Ovis aries: one gene and its partner. The protein of the gene in region 1 binds, or shares a complex with, the protein of each later gene. Links are inferred from orthologs where the notes say so. Each region holds a gene or a part of one and is shown in the gene's direction. Other genes may lie near its edges.

Region 1 (8,152 bases):
ACTGTCCACGCCGGTAGAGCTGGGACCCCAGGCGAGGAGGCTCAAGGTGCAGGGCAGCAACTGCCAGACGCAGACTGCAGCCCTGGCCTGCACAGTGCAGACGCCCGGGGCTTAGTCTGGGGCTGAACCCTCATGCTCAGGCTCTGAATTCCCACAGCATGAACGTGTGTGCTGAGCTGCAGACGTGCTGTCTCAACGACCTTCTCGGGACATGTGTCCATGGTTGGGGGTGGGCACTGGGAGAGGGCAGCTTCCTGCCCAGCATGCCTGCGGGACCACTTGAGCAGATGACCTCCGAAAAGGGTGCACCCCAGACCGTGGGGGCTCACCCCAGGTTCCCACCTAGGGGCCGTAAGGAGCAGGATCCACCCCTCCGCTCCTGCTCGGGGGCCCGAGGAGTCAGAGGAAACTGAAGCGCTAGATGGGAGGAAGATGCCCAGTGGATGACCACTGATCAGAGCAAGACCTGGGAAGACCTCAAAAGGGATCGAAACAGGAGCGTCAATAGGTGTCAAGACTGGGGTGACAAAGGCTGGTGTCATCGACAGGCTGTCAAGCTGCCGCAGTGAAGGTGCTTCATTGAGCATCTGTGAACATGCGTGAACAAATGGGAAACAGAAGCAGGGAGTTTAAGGAAAGAAACCAAAGATACAAAGAAGAACCAAATGGAAATTCTAGATTAAAAAATACAGAAGCCAGACTAAAAAGCTCAAAGAATGTATTCCTCAGCAGAGGGGAGGGGAGAGGGGAAAGGATCAGTGACTTGGAAGAAAAAAAATAGAAGTTTCCAGGTTTGAACAAATAGAGAGAAACTAGAGCCAGAAAAAATTGTGCTGAGCTCGGTGCCCAGGTTTGGTAAAGACTGACGCCCGAGTCGTTGGGGTCCTGCAAGGGCAGAATAAAGGGGGGTGAGGAGTGAGCCTTCAGATCCAAGAAGCGGAGAGAACTGCTAACAAGGCACCCCACCCCTGCCACACGGCAATCGAACTTCTGGATTTCAAAGACACACACGTGCAACTCCAGAAAGCAACTGCTCAAAACAAAAAGGACTTCAGTCCAGTTCAGTTCAGCTCAGTTGCTCAGTCGTGTCCGACTCTTTGCGACCCCATGAATCGCAGCACGCCAGGCCTCCCTGTCCATCACCATCTCCCGGAGTTCACTCAGACTCACGTCCATCGAGTCCGTGATGCCACTCAGCCATCTCATCCTCTGTCGTCCCCTTCTCCTCCTGCCCCCAATCCCTCCCAGCATCAGCGTCTTTTCCAATGAGTCAACTCTTCGCATGAGGTGGCCAAAGTACTGGCGTTTCAGCTTCAGCATCGTTCCTTCCAAAGAAGTCCCAGGGCTGATCAGGTGTTCATCTAGCAGAGCGTGTACAGGGCTTTTGTACTGAAGACCACAAAGTGACCGTGAGACAGAAATCTACACGGATGCAGACACACAGTGTGCTCACAGGTTGCAAGACTCTACACAGATGTCCATGCTCCCCAAACTGATATGCTGTCTTAACACAGTTTCTATCAACATCCAGGCAAGACCTTGTTTTGTATCTAGGGATAGGGCTATTCTAAAATTTATTTAGAAAGGCCAAGGAACTAGAAAAGTTAAATATTTTATTCTTTATTTGAAATATTTACTTTTTTAGAAAATATTTTAAAAATGAAAAATAAGGTAGGAAGACTTGGTCCGCATAACTTCAAGGCTGCAAGGACAGATAGAAACACATCATCAAGACAGTGAGGGGCAGAGATCGATAAACACAATAGAAAACTCAGAAGCAGATTCATGCCCACGCGCCCATGGACTTTGACAGCAGCGCCAAAGACGTTCACTGAAGCAAAGATGACCTTTTTAGCACATGGAGCTTGAGCAACTGAACGTCCAAAAACCCCGACCTAGCTCACAGCTTGCAAAAAAATTAACTCAAAATGGTCATGGATTTACATGTGAAAGTATACAACTTTTAGAAAAAAAAATGTGAGAAAATCTTTAAGTGGTTCTTAAAGGTTAAGACAGAGTTTTAAGACTTGACACCAAAATAAGAAAAAAAAAACTGAAAAATTGGACTTCAAATACAACATCAGAAAAGCAAGCAGTCCAGTTAGAATGCGGTCAAAAGACGTGAAGAGATATTTCACCAAAGAGGATTCGCAGATGGGAAATAAACACTTGCATAAATGCCCAACATAACCGGCCAGTGAGGAAATGCAAAGTAAAAGCACAGTGGGGTACCACCTATCACAAGAGCTGGAATGAAAAATGGCGACAACTCCAAATGCTGGTGAGGATGCTGAGAAACTGGGTTGCTCATACGTTGCTGGCAGGAGTGGAAAATGGTAGTTGGGGTTCAGTGGCTAAGTCGTGTCTGACTCTCTGTGACCCTCTGGACTTCAGCACACCAGGCTTCCCTGTCCTTCACTGTCTCTCAGAGTTTACTCAAACTTATGTCCGTTGTGTTGGTGATGTTATCCAACCATCTCATCCTGCACCATCTGGGGAAAAGTTTGCCAGTTTCTTAAAAAATCAAACATGCAAATATCGCAAGTGCCGCATGACCCAGCAATGCTCTCGGGCACTAATCCAGAGAAACTAAACTTTATATCTGTATGGATATCTGTATGTTTATAGCAGCTTTATTTACGATAGCCCAAACTGGAATCAACCTAGATGTCCTTCAACAAGCGAATGATTAAACCAGCCATGGTCCCCCTGCACTGTGGAATACTACTCAGGTGTGGGTAGGCAAGCCACCTGCTTGCCTCCAGGGAGTCATGCTGAGTGAAGAGCCAGTCCCCGAAGTTATATAACGTGCAACTCCCCGATGGGCGTGAGTTTGAGTGAACTCCGGGAATTGGTGATGGACAGGGAGGCCTGGCGTGCTGCGATTCATGGGGTCGCAAAGAGTCGGACACGACTGAGCGACTGAGCTGAACTGAACTGAACTTATGTGGAGTTGCTTTTCAGCTGCTGAGTAGTGTCTGACCCTTTGTGACCCCATGGACTGCAACATATAACATTCTTGAAATGACAGCTTTATGGAAATGGAGAACAGCTGAGCGGCTATCAAGGTTCAGGACAGTGTCAGGGTGGGAAGGGGTGGCTGTCTATAAGAGGGGACCACGTGGTGTCGGGGGTCCTGAGTGCTGGCTGTGTCCACGTCGGTGTGCGCTTTGATCCTGGGCTGGGTGGGGGAGGTGCTGTCACTGGGGGCGGGGCCAGGGCGCGGGGGTCTCTGCATTACTTCTTATAACTGCATGTGAGTCTACAGTTACTCTCAGTAAAACTTTAATTTTGGAAAAGGACCCGATGAGTTTAGGGAGCTCTGTGTACTTGACTCCTCTCGCCGGGCTTGCTCTTCAGCCTGTAAGCCCCGTGATAAACACGTCTAAGGTTGCTTACCCTGTGCTTCCCCCGGAGGGAGCTCAGAGTTCATCCAGCGGGCTTCGCTGTCCTCAGACCCTGCCTCTCGGGCTGCGTCCTGACCTCAGTCCCAGCCCCGTGCCAGGCCCACCGAAGCAGACCTTTATTTCTCCAGGTGACTCGAGTGCCTGGTGCCACTGGGAGGCACTGGCTCAGGACACAGAGTCAGGAACACTAAGGAGGGGACTCCAGCCCAGGCCTGTGCTGGGGCTGCTGTCCCATCTGATCCCTGGAGGGTAAAGAAAAGGCAGGAAGGGGTTGCAGCGACTGGCCCAAGGTCACCTGCTAGGAAGTGCCGCTGGACGCGCCAACCCGCCCTCTCAGTGGTGAGCCCTCTCCTCTGCCTCCCCAGCTGCTGCAGAGTCCGCCGTCCTCCCACCCCTGCAGAGCCTCCCTGCCCTCTGGAGCCCTCCCCTCCCGCCGTGGAGGCCGGCTCCCTGGCCCCTTCTGGCTGGGGCGTTCTGCATTTCTGTGGCCCTTCACCCCTCCCTTCTTCAACTGTCACCAACCCCCACCGCTTCCTCATCATTTTTCCCCTTACGGTAGGCACCGAGCACCTGCTGCCCACTAGAGCAAGACCGGCAAGGCTGTGCCGAGGTGAGCCCAGGTGCCCTGTGAGTGCGCCCCAGCTGTGTCCAAGTGTCCCAGGTGCGTCTCAGGGGAGCCCGGAGTGAGTCTAGGGCGAGCCCCGGGCGTGTCTCGGGGAGCCCCGGGCGTGTCCCGGGCGTGTCCCGGGCGAGCCCCGGGCGTGTCTCGGGGGGCCCCGGGCGTGCCCCTGGCCTCTCCATCCGCTCTCCTGCCTCTCTCCGTGGGGCCTCAGCCCCAGGTGCAGTCGCTGTGTCCTGCATGCTGCTCTGTTTCCACCTGGACGCTTCTCTTGGCATTCCTGCTCCACCAGCCACACCGGTGAGGGCAGGGGCTGACGGGGAGCTGACTCCTCGGCAGGAGCCAGGGCCCCAGGCGAGGACGCCACCAGCCTGACACGCTGTTCTCAGGGCCAGGTTGGCACGAGTGTCCGGGCTCACATACTGACCGGTGCCCTGGCCAGGGTGTCCCCTGGGCAGGGTCTCGCCTGTGGACACGCGGGAAGTCTACTCATAAACCAGCATCCGCTGGTCTCCTCGCTGATTGCTTTTCTAAAGACGAAGATGGCCCACGGTGAGGAAAACCAGCCATGTTCGTGAACCGAGGCTCCTCCTGGGCCCCGTGTCCCCACCAGGGAGCAGATGAGGCTCCGGCCCGTCTGCTCGGGCCTGCGGGCTGGACAGGGCAGCTCCCGTGAGGCAGGGGCTCCGGGCCTGCGAGGTGGGCCTGGGCCCCGCGTGCCCTTCCTCGCAGGAAGCAGTGGGCAGCGCAGCCCGGCTAATCCGTCTGCGAGCAGCTTAGGGATTGTCTTTTTCTGGCACCTGCTTGCTGCCCTGCACGTCCTCTACTCTGGCTGGGATTTAGCCCGAGCTGCGTCAGCGGGCTTCCTGGGGCTCCCACCGCCTGGCCAGCCTCCCATCCCGAGGGTGGGCACGGGCCACAGGCCAAGGGCAGCAGGTCAGGCCGGCTGGGGACGCGGGAGCCAGACGTGAACAGGGCCCGGCGCTGGGATGGATTTCGGGTCCCTGGAGACGGTGGTGGCCAATTCGGCCTTCATCGCGGCCCGGGGCAGCTTCGACGCGAGCAGCGGTCCGGCCGCCCGGGACAGGAAGTACCTGGCCAGGCTCAAGCTGCCCCCGCTGTCCAAGTGTGAGGCGCTCCGGGAGAGCCTCGACCTGGGCTTCGAGGGTGTGTGCCTGGAGCAGCCCATCGGCAAGCGGCTCTTCCAGCAGTTTCTGCGGGCCCACGAGCAGCACGGGCCGGCCCTGCAGGTCTGGAGGGACATCGAGGACTATGACACGGCTGACGATGCCCTCCGGCCGCAGAAGGCCCAGGCCATCCGGGCCGCGTACCTGGACCCCCAGGCCCAGCTCTTCTGCAGCTTCCTGGATGCGGAGACAGCGGCGCGGGCCCGGGAGGGGGCAGGGGACGGGCTCTTCCAGCCCCTGCTGCGGGCCGTCCTGGCACACCTAGGCCAGGCCCCTTTCCAGGAGTTCCTGGACAGTCTCTACTTCCTGCGCTTCTTGCAGTGGAAGTGGCTGGAGGCCCAGCCCATGGGCGAGGACTGGTTCCTAGACTTCAGGGTGCTGGGGCGGGGCGGCTTCGGGGAGGTGTTCGCCTGCCAGATGAAGGCCACCGGCAAGCTGTACGCATGCAAGAAGCTGAACAAGAAGCGGCTGAAGAAGCGGAAGGGATACCAGGTGGGCTGTGCCGCTCCGGGGGGCGGCCCTGGGTGGGGGTCGGTCCCCTGCACCCCCTGGTCATACCCGCCTGTCTGCACAGCGGCCGAGTGCCTGGCCAGGGCCGCGGGCGTGGGTGAGGCTCCACACTGGGCCTGCGGCTCGGCTCGGCCGGCTGCTCTGGGCCTCTAGCCCTGCGCCTGGGACGGGCCAGGTGGCCGTCCTCCTCGAAGCGCGGCCTGGGCGTAGCTGGCGAGGGTGGCGTGCCAGCTTCCTCATCCTCCTCGGTCTGCTGGTGCCCCCACGAGACACAGCAGCCAGTGCCAGGGAGGCTGGATCGGTTCCCCAGACCCCTCCCTCTGGCTTCCCGGGACACCCTGGTTGCGCAGTGAGGAGGCTGCCCAGGGCATCCCCAGGGCCAGTGCGGGGAGGCCAGGGCGCCCAGCTCAGCGCTGCCCGGGTCCTGGGGGGAGGCAGGGGTACACAGTGGGCAGAGGCCCCCCGGCTCTGCCTCTGGCATCAGGCTCCGTTCGGGCGGGATCAAAGTGGCTTAGTGTCTCGGATACTCGTCTCCGGCCGTGCTCCGTCTAGCGCCAGCGTTCCTGTGCTAGGGTGAATGGCAGCCCCCCCGCAGCACCCCACCCAGGGCCCCTGAGGGCGCTCTGCCCAATGGACTCCGGGGCAGCGGTCACCCTCGGGCCATCTACCTGCAATCTTAACCCAGCTGTTAGGGAACTAAGCTGCTTCTCTCCCGAGTTCAGGAAACTTACTGAACTTTTACAGTACAATCTGCCTAAGATCTTCCAATGCAGTGGAGAGAAAGGGCTTCCCAAATCAAGAAGGGCTCTTCTCCTTACCCAGCACAACTTTTAGAAGCACTTTAAAAGGACTCCATAGGGTTTTAAGATGAGTATAGAAAGAGGCTGGCGGTGCAGGGTGGCTTGGGAGGGTGCTGGCCAGTGGGCCCGGCTGGCCTCCACTGTCCAGAGGCCTGGACAGGAGGAGAGGCGGGTCTGCAGAGGTGGAGCTGGAGGGAAGGCCGGTGCTCACAGGTGCCCAGGGGCCCGCGTGGCGCCAGGGGCATTTGCAAGGCTGGTGGTTGGAGCCCCCTCGCTCGAGGCCCCAGGAGCCCTGAAGTCCCTGCACGTGACTGTCCCCAGGCTGTGTCCTGTCCCCGCAAGGCGGGGCCTGTGGGGCGCGTCACTCAGTCCTTGTGACTGCGCTGCTGTTGCTGGTCAGCCGCTCAGTCATGTCCGACTCTGCGACCCTGTTGACCGCAGCACGCCAGGCCTCCCTGTCCTTCACCAGCTCCCGGAGCTTGCTCACACTCATGTCCATCGAGCTGGTGATGCCATCCAGCCATCTCACCCTCTGCCGTCCCCTTCTCCTCCTGCCCTCAATCTTTTCCAGCATCAGGGTCTTTTCCAGTGAGTCAGCTCTTCTCATCAGGTGGCCAAAGTGTTGGAGCTTCAGCATCAGTCCTTCCAACGAATATTCAGGACTGATCTCCTTTAGGATGGACTGGTTGGATCTCCTTGCACTCCAAGGGACTCTCAAGAGTCCTCTCCAACACCACAGTTCAAAAGCATTAATCCTTCGGCACTCAGCCTTATTTTCCAAATCTCACATCCATACACGGCTACTGGAGACTATCATAGCTATGACTAGATGGACCTTTGTCAGGAAAGTGATGTCTCTGCTCTTCAATATGCTGTCTAGGTCGGTCATAGCTTTTCTTCCAAGGAGCAAGTGTCCTTTAATTTCATGGCTGCAGTCACCGTTGCAGTGATTTTGGAGCCCAAGAAGTCCACCATTGCTTCCACTTTCCTCCTTTTATTTGTCATGAAGCGGTGAGACCAGATGCTATGATCATAGGTTTCTGAATGTTGAGTTTTAAGCCAGCTCTTTCACTGTCTCTTTCACCTTCTTCAAGAGGCTCTTTAGCTCCTCTTCACTTTCCGCCGTTAGAGTGGTGTCATCTGCATGTCTGAGGCTGCGGATGTTTCTCCTGGCGACCCTGATTCCAGCTTGTGCTTCATCCAGCCTGGCACTTCATGCGATGTACTTTCTGCATGTAATTTATATAAACTGGGTGATAACGTGGTACTTCTTTTCCAGTTTTGAACCAATCGCTTTGTTCAGTTCAGTTCAGTTGCTCAGTCGTGTCCAACTCTTTGTGACCCCATGAATCACAGCACGCCAGGTCCCTCTGTCCATCACCAACTCCCAGAGCCCACCGAGACCCATGTCCATTCTGTTGGTGATGCCATCCAACCATCTCATCCTCTGTCATCCCCTTCTGCTCCTGCCCTCAATCTTTCCCAGCATCAGGGTCTTTTCCGATGAGTCAACTCTTTGCATGAGGTGGCCAAAGTATTGGAGTTTCAGCTTTAGCCTCAGTCCTTCCAATGAACACCCAGGACTGATCTCCTTTAGGATGGACTGGACGGATCTCCTTGCAGTCCAAG
Region 2 (6,803 bases), on another chromosome or scaffold:
TCCCACAGCTTCATTTTCCTCCTAGAGAAGAAGAATGTGGGAATTTTCTGTTACCTACCTTTACCGTTTCCTTCTTTCCCTCCCATCTTCCTTCCTTTCTTCATTAAAGCGTTCTCCAGGGACTTCCCTGGGTGTCCAGTGATTCCAATGCGAGGGGTGCAGTTTCCATCCCTGGTCAGGGAAATAAGATCCCACCTGCTGTGCAGTGCAGTTAAGAAAATATATAAATAAGTAGGTGTTAAAAATAATAAAGCATTCTTCAGAACCTCCAATAGGACACACGTGCATTCTTTTTTTTTTTTTTTTTGGCTCCGGGGTTGGGGGCATCTTAGTTGAGGCAGGTGAAGCCTAGTTCCCTGACCAGGGGTGGAACACCAACTCCACCCTCCAGCATTGGGAGCCCAAAAATCTTAGCCACTGGACCACCAGGGAAGTCCCTTTCATAAGATCTTATGGACAAACCCTAACGAACTTTTTGGCCAACCCAATATATTTATGTATTTATGTTTATTTTATTTGGGTCCTGTGGCTTTTGGGATCTTACTGCCCCAAACAGGGATTGAACCAGGGGCCACCGCCACTGCAGCGAAAGCCCCGAGTCCTAACCACTGGGCAGCCAAGGAAGTCCCTCACGAGTCATTTTAGAGACATAACATGTTTCAAATAGGTTGGCCCAGGGTCGGATCATCTGCCAAGACTTTTAGGTGTTTGAAAAGTAGTTTTATTTAATATAAAATGCATGCCAAAGAAAACGAAAATTGCCTTTAATTTCATCATCCAGAGAAAACTACTGTCAACAAATAGGCATGTATCTTTCCAGTCTTTTATTTATATATTTAAAAATAACTTTAGAATTAGGACATATTCACATATGGTTTTATCATACTGTTCTTCATTCACTATTTTATATCAAATTGCTTTTAACAGCTGCTTAGAATTCCATCTTATAGACATGTCATAAAATTACTTAACCATTCCTATATTTTTGGACAATGAGGATGCTTCTATTTTTTCCTTATTATTTCTTTCCCTTCACTCAGTATCATTTTACTGGATTTTTTTTTTGCCCCCCACCCCCACCCCATGCCACTTGTTTTCTTTCTCTAATCCCATTCCTGTAAAGAGAGAATATTCTTCATCTTTCATATAATTTTTGAGGCATTTGTAATCCCACTTTCATTCACCCAATTCTTCCACCCTTATTAGGCAAGACCATAGAGAAAACAGCCAAGGATGCAGCCGTGGTCAGCGACTCCTTCTTGGGCCTCCCATTAGGGGCAGGTGTGTGTAGAAACCTCACTGGTCTCTGGGCAGGGCCTGCAGCGCAAGCTCCTTGGATTGACAGGTGGCCTGCAGCAGGGACCACCTAAAGGATGCCAAGCCCAGCAGAGGCCTCTGAGTTGGTGCTTCTTCAGAAAAAGGAGGAGGAAGAAGATGAAGGGGTAGAGGGGAAGGGAAGGAGGAAGGAGAGGGTGGGAAGGCGTGGGGAGGCAGAGAGAGAAGGGCACGACCACAGATGAGGCTATGCAAGAGCATGCCAAGCCTCTACTATTCACCATGTCCAAGGTAACTGGCCTGGGAGTCAGTCATCTGTTGTGGGTTCTGATGTACCACCACCAAGCTGGGCCTCCAGAAAACCACAGAACCTCCCACCGCCCCAAGGCGAGGATGTAATGGTTCTTTGGCAGTCCATTCCCGGAGGCCCTGACAGTGTGCCCTTGGTTTTAGAAGCGGGGTGATGGGCAGCCAGTCACTCCCAGCCGTTAGCCTTCCGGCCTGCCCAAGGGTCCCCGGCTGAGGAATTTAAAGGAGCCCTTACTTCACTGCCGGGTACCTCGGAGCTCTGAGCGCTGTCGGTGAGGCAGCTGCCCCAGCTGCGGGTTTCAACTTCCTTGCTTCTCTTGCTACAGCACAGGAAGCTGAAAGGGAGTTTCTAAAGCCACTGCTCTTCCCTCCAGGTAAATTTCATAGGCATCACTGCCCCTGCCTGGCTGGTTCCCTGACGTCTCCACGGCATCCCAGTCCCAACACTTCGGTCGCAAGCTGGGACACTCAAGATGGGGGAGCCACAACCTTGAGCATCCACCCTGGGTCTGGCCAGCCTGCTGGAATCCTAGTAACCTGGAGCTGAACGGGCACATCAAGACTACCCCGTCCCTTTTCCTGATCACGTGTCGGAAGGCACTTCCTGCTTTGCTGGACATTGTCGACTCAGCTCCTGTATTAGCTAGAGTAGAGGGAAGTGAGAAGGACCCTTGAGCTTTACCCTCCCTAAGCAGAGGGGTAAAGGAGGGGCTTCCAGAGGCCTTATCCAGCCCCTACCATGCTCTCCAAGACATTCTAGGAATAGCATGAGATGCAAGCACAGAGGTTTTAGAACCAAACTTGCCAGGGTTAGCATCTCCAGTCTTCTGCTTCTGGTTGGCCGAATTCTAGCAAGTCAGCTGATTCAGTTTCTCCATCTGTGAAATGGGCCAATAACACCCACCTCATGAAGCTGTCATGAGTTTACATGTAAAAACACTTAGAAATGTGGCACGTGTTAATCACTTAACAAACATTAGCTCTTATTACCATAAGTAATCCATGTGGCGCTACTGTTGAAGAACCCACCTGCCAATGCAGGAGATGGAAGAGACACAGGTTCGCTCCCTGGATCAGGAAGATCCCCTGGAGGAGGGCATGGCAACCCACTCCAGTATTCTTGTCTGGAGAATCCCATGGACAGAGGAGCCTGGCAGGCTATAGTTAATGGGGTCGCAAAGAGTTGGACACAACTGAAGTGACTTAGCACACACACACCATAAGCCAGCCTGCTAGGCAACCAAAGTACCACTTGGATTCAGAAAAAGCCATCTGATGTACTTCTGGGCAGTGAGGTCAAAGGTACCAGTTTTCAAAATGCAGCCTTCAGAAAGCTTTTTATTTCTTATTTTCATTTTTTAATACAATGAAAGTAATATGTCTGCATGGTCAGGAAATTCAGACTGTACAGAAAGGGACAAAATAAGAAGGGAAAGTCATCCTCACCTCTTCCCCACATTCCCTTCCTCTTCTTAAAAGTACAGATGACTCCTGCCCACTCTCAAGAACTAGGATTTAGCTGGTGCCAGTGGGTTGGGGGGCCTGAGCATCTGCATTTTAACCTCAGCGTCCTGCTCAGCCATGTGGGTTCCCCCAGAATCACTTCTTCTGACCAGTGCTCCCCCTCAATTTGATGCAGGCTATCTTCAAAATGATCAGTCCTGAGGATGCAAAGCGTCTCCCAGAAGATGAGAACACTCCGGAGAAGCGAGCAGAGAAGATCTGGGGGTTCTTTGGCAAGAAGGATGATGGTGAGTGACTTCTTCCCAGCCCTTGATTTCACAGTGCCGGGCTATGTCCTAGAGATCCCAATGAGATTGACTCTTCCCAGTCCAGAGACCAGGTGGGACGGAGGACCCCTCCTCCCACCACAAGGTGATCAGCAGAAGAATGGTCAGCAGACAGTTGTGGGCCCTTCTGGAACTGACTGAAAATGTCACCACCTCCCACCACTCATAAAACTCCACCACTGCCTGAGATTCTCTGGGGGCGAATGCAGGCTCTAAATGATGGGGTGCTTTGGAAAAAAAAGCATCTTTTGTTTGGACAGAATTAACCCACTTTGCTAAGTCACTTCAGTCGTGTCCGACTCTGTGCGACCCCGTAGACGGCAGCCCACCAGGCTTCCCTGTCCCTGGGATTCTCCAGGCAAGAACACTGGAGTGGGTTGCCATTTCCTTCTCCAATGCAGGAAAGTGAAAAGTGAAAATGAAGTCGCTGAGTCATGCCCGACCCTCAGCAACCCCATGGACTGCAGCCTTCCAGGCTCCCCCGTCCACGGGATTTTCCAGGCAAGAGTACTGGAGTGGGGTGCCATTGCCTTCTCTTCAAACCCACTTTGAAGAAAGATTAAAAAATCAAGGCAACAGCCCATCATTTTGTATACAAATGACAAGTTTTGAGGCTTTGCAAGCATACTGCTTTCTTTTTGAATGGAGTGCCCAGTGTTTTGTTGTTATTTTAGGACACTTTGGTTTACTTGTTTAAACCAAACAAGTAGCCTTCTTCACAGCTGGGATGGGGTAAAGCTCACTTCAGAATTAGCATGGCATCCCAAGTATGCAGGATCTCAATTTATATGGTGTTACTTTAGGAAATTAGTTCGGGTCCCCCCTCCCAACCCCCAAGCACCATCAGATGGAATTAGATTTCAATTCAATTTCAAGAGATTGATGGGGGTAGGGGGTGTGCTATGAGGGGAAATGAGGAGAGATCTTCAGGAGGCTGGGAAAGCCATCAGACTGCAAAGCAGATGAACGGCTTATGGGCAGACTCAAGAAAAGTCTTAAACTGCAGGGCTGGGCTAAGAAAGTCTTGATGAAGCTGAGGGTGTGTCCTCGGGCCCCCTTCTGCCAGGAGCTGACCTGTCTTGGCTCCCTCCCCTGTTCAGTCTGGCAAAGAGCAGCCAATGGGGAAGGTGAGCTTGTACTGAAAGCGGTGATGGATTCCAGAATTGGGTGGCAGGGGCTGCTGGTACCTGAAGCCCATGTCCAGCTCGGGAAGGACACAGGAGAGGGGCTGGTGTCAGACGGGGACTGCAAACTTGAATGACCACTGGGTCTGGGATGATGAATGTGAGAGGAGTGGACAGTGGCCCAATGAAGCAATAGGGACTGGCAAACAGTGGGGCATGAGGGTCTGCCTGGTTTTACGGCCTCTGGTCAGTTGTTACCACATAGGAATACAGATCCGTTGGGGCCTCATTGTCTTTTTTTTTTTCTTTAAAGAGAAGCCAGCAATTGAGATTTTTAAAATCTGAAGTGCCTCCACTGATGAAACACTACATGGTCCACACACATCTGAGAAGCTGGTATCGGTCCATTTGTGATCTCTGGGCCAGTCTCTTACCAGGGTTCCAGGTCACACGCCCAAGGAGGATGATAAAGAAGGCCCCTATTAATCTGCAGTCCAGGGAGAAGGTAGATTAGCAACCAGATCTGTGACGTTAGAGCCAGAATTAGAGTGAGGCATGTGAGGTGCCCTGGCACAAGACTTAAGGAGACCCTTTTCTCAGGTGCCAGCCCTGTGCCCATACTATGCTGAAAGTGAGAGCCTCCTTAAATGTTAAAGGGGAGGTACCTCCCTTTCCTCACCCAGACGTCACCTCCCCTTTGAACACCTTCTCCTGGCTGCTTCAGGTGCCTCCCAGTGGCACGTCACCCCTCTGGCTCTTTAACCCCCATCCTGACATCCTGCTGGGTCTGGCAGGCGCTGAGTCCCTTGTTCTGCTACTTGCTGACCTGAATATTGACCGCAGTGAATGTCACAGGAGGCAGTGGTACTCCTGCCAGGTGACTTGTGTTTTCACATGGTCCATCTGAAGACCAGGCTTCACTCCACAATCAGCTTCTGAGAGTAGGAGTTTCAAGCTATCAGTGAGGCTCATAGGGCACCAGGGACCTTAAAACCCACATTTCAGCACCCTGACCTGTACAAGGAACCTGCATCCTAAACAGGAAGGATTAAGGTCACTCAAAAGGCCTGGAACATAAAAAGCCAATGGAAACCCAGTTCAGTTAAGCCAAGCTTTACTGAGCACTTAGTACATCAGGACTATGAGCCTCGCCATAAGCAGGAAGGAACATTTGCCTCATTCTAGAGTCATTTCTGGGCTTCCCTGGTGGCTCAGATGGTAAAGAATCCGCCTGCAATGCAGGAGACCTGGGTTTGATCCCTGGATTGGGAAGATCCCCTGGAGGAGGGCATGGCAACTCACTCCAGTATTCTTGTTGGAGAATCCCCATAGACAGAGGAGCCTGGCGGGCTACAGTCCATGGGGTTGCAAAGAGTCAGACACAACTGAGCAACTAAGCGCAGCACAGCACAAAGTCACTTCCACAGGTGACTCTCTCCCCATCAGACAAACAGTTTCCCAGGCCAGGGGCATTATCTCACTCTCTTTCATGCCACACCCTGCCCTCTGCCCCCTGCAATGACCTCAGCCCCGTACACAGTGACTCTGGCACAGAGGAAGGGCTTAGTGAGTGCATTTAACTGGAGAGAACCAAATTCAATAGTTGGGGCAAAGCCCTTTCTTGCCCCAAATGGGGAGGTAGATTCAGTTCAGTTCAGTCGCTCAGTCATGTCTGACTCTTTGCGACCCCATGAACCACAGCACGCCTCCCTGTCCATCACCAACTTCCGGATCCATGTCCACCGAGTCGGTGATGCCATCCAATCATCTCATCCTCTGTCGTCCCCTTCACCTCCTGCCCTCAATCTTTCCCAGCATCAGGGTCTTTTCAAATGGGTCAGCTCTTCGCATCAGGTTGCCAAAGTATTGGAGTTCCAGCTTCAACATCAGTCCTTCCAATGAACACCCAGGACTGATCTCCTTTAGGATTAGGGATGCAGAAATGCCTAGGAAAGGATCGCCAACCAATCAGAAGAGATACAGCACTAGCCCAGCCTCCTGGAGGCCCTGCAGGGCCTGTCATTAACCCTCTCATTGCTGGTTCACCGGGAGGTCCAGGGGTCCTAGGAAAGAGCTGGAGGGTGGGGTTATCCTCAGGGGCAAGGAGATTAGTATTTTCATAATAGAGCCATCCACTCTGGGTATGCTTGCAAAGATCAGCTTCATTGCAGCTGGAAACAGCCTATCCTGACTGTATTATTTTCTCCTCTTGCAGATAAACTTACAGAGAAAGACTTCATCGAGGGGACCCTGGCCAATAAGGAAATTCTGCGACTGATTCAATTCGAGCCTCAAAAAGTGAAGG

Evidence for each region. Proteins that work in one complex are often made in the same cells at the same time.
Region 2: the proteins of GRK1 (region 1) and RCVRN are in contact, whole or in part, in an NMR structure (PDB 2I94), measured with the Bos taurus proteins. The link is inferred for Ovis aries from reciprocal best matches to the Homo sapiens genes GRK1 and RCVRN. Residues at the interface, in NP_776598.1 of Bos taurus: Phe3, Gly4, Leu6, Glu7, Val9, Val10, Ala11, Asn12, Ser13, Ala14, Phe15, Ile16; in NP_776590.1 of Bos taurus: Lys22, Trp31, Ser34, Phe35, Glu38, Cys39, Phe49, Ile52, Tyr53, Lys55, Phe56, Phe57, Tyr86, Leu90, Thr93, Ser94, Phe188, Glu189.

What each region holds. Positions count from the first base shown.
Region 1 is NC_056063.1:86,081,833-86,089,984, forward strand, and holds the start of GRK1 (rhodopsin kinase GRK1), read left to right. Parts: upstream 1-2,746; 5' UTR 2,747-5,015; coding exon 5,016-5,705; intron 5,706-8,152. UniProt on the Homo sapiens protein: Retina-specific kinase involved in the signal turnoff via phosphorylation of rhodopsin (RHO), the G protein- coupled receptor that initiates the phototransduction cascade.
Region 2 is NC_056064.1:28,840,072-28,846,874, reverse strand, and holds part of RCVRN (recoverin), read left to right. Parts: intron 1-3,223; coding exon 3,224-3,335; intron 3,336-6,713; coding exon 6,714-6,803. UniProt on the Homo sapiens protein: Acts as a calcium sensor and regulates phototransduction of cone and rod photoreceptor cells. Modulates light sensitivity of cone photoreceptor in dark and dim conditions.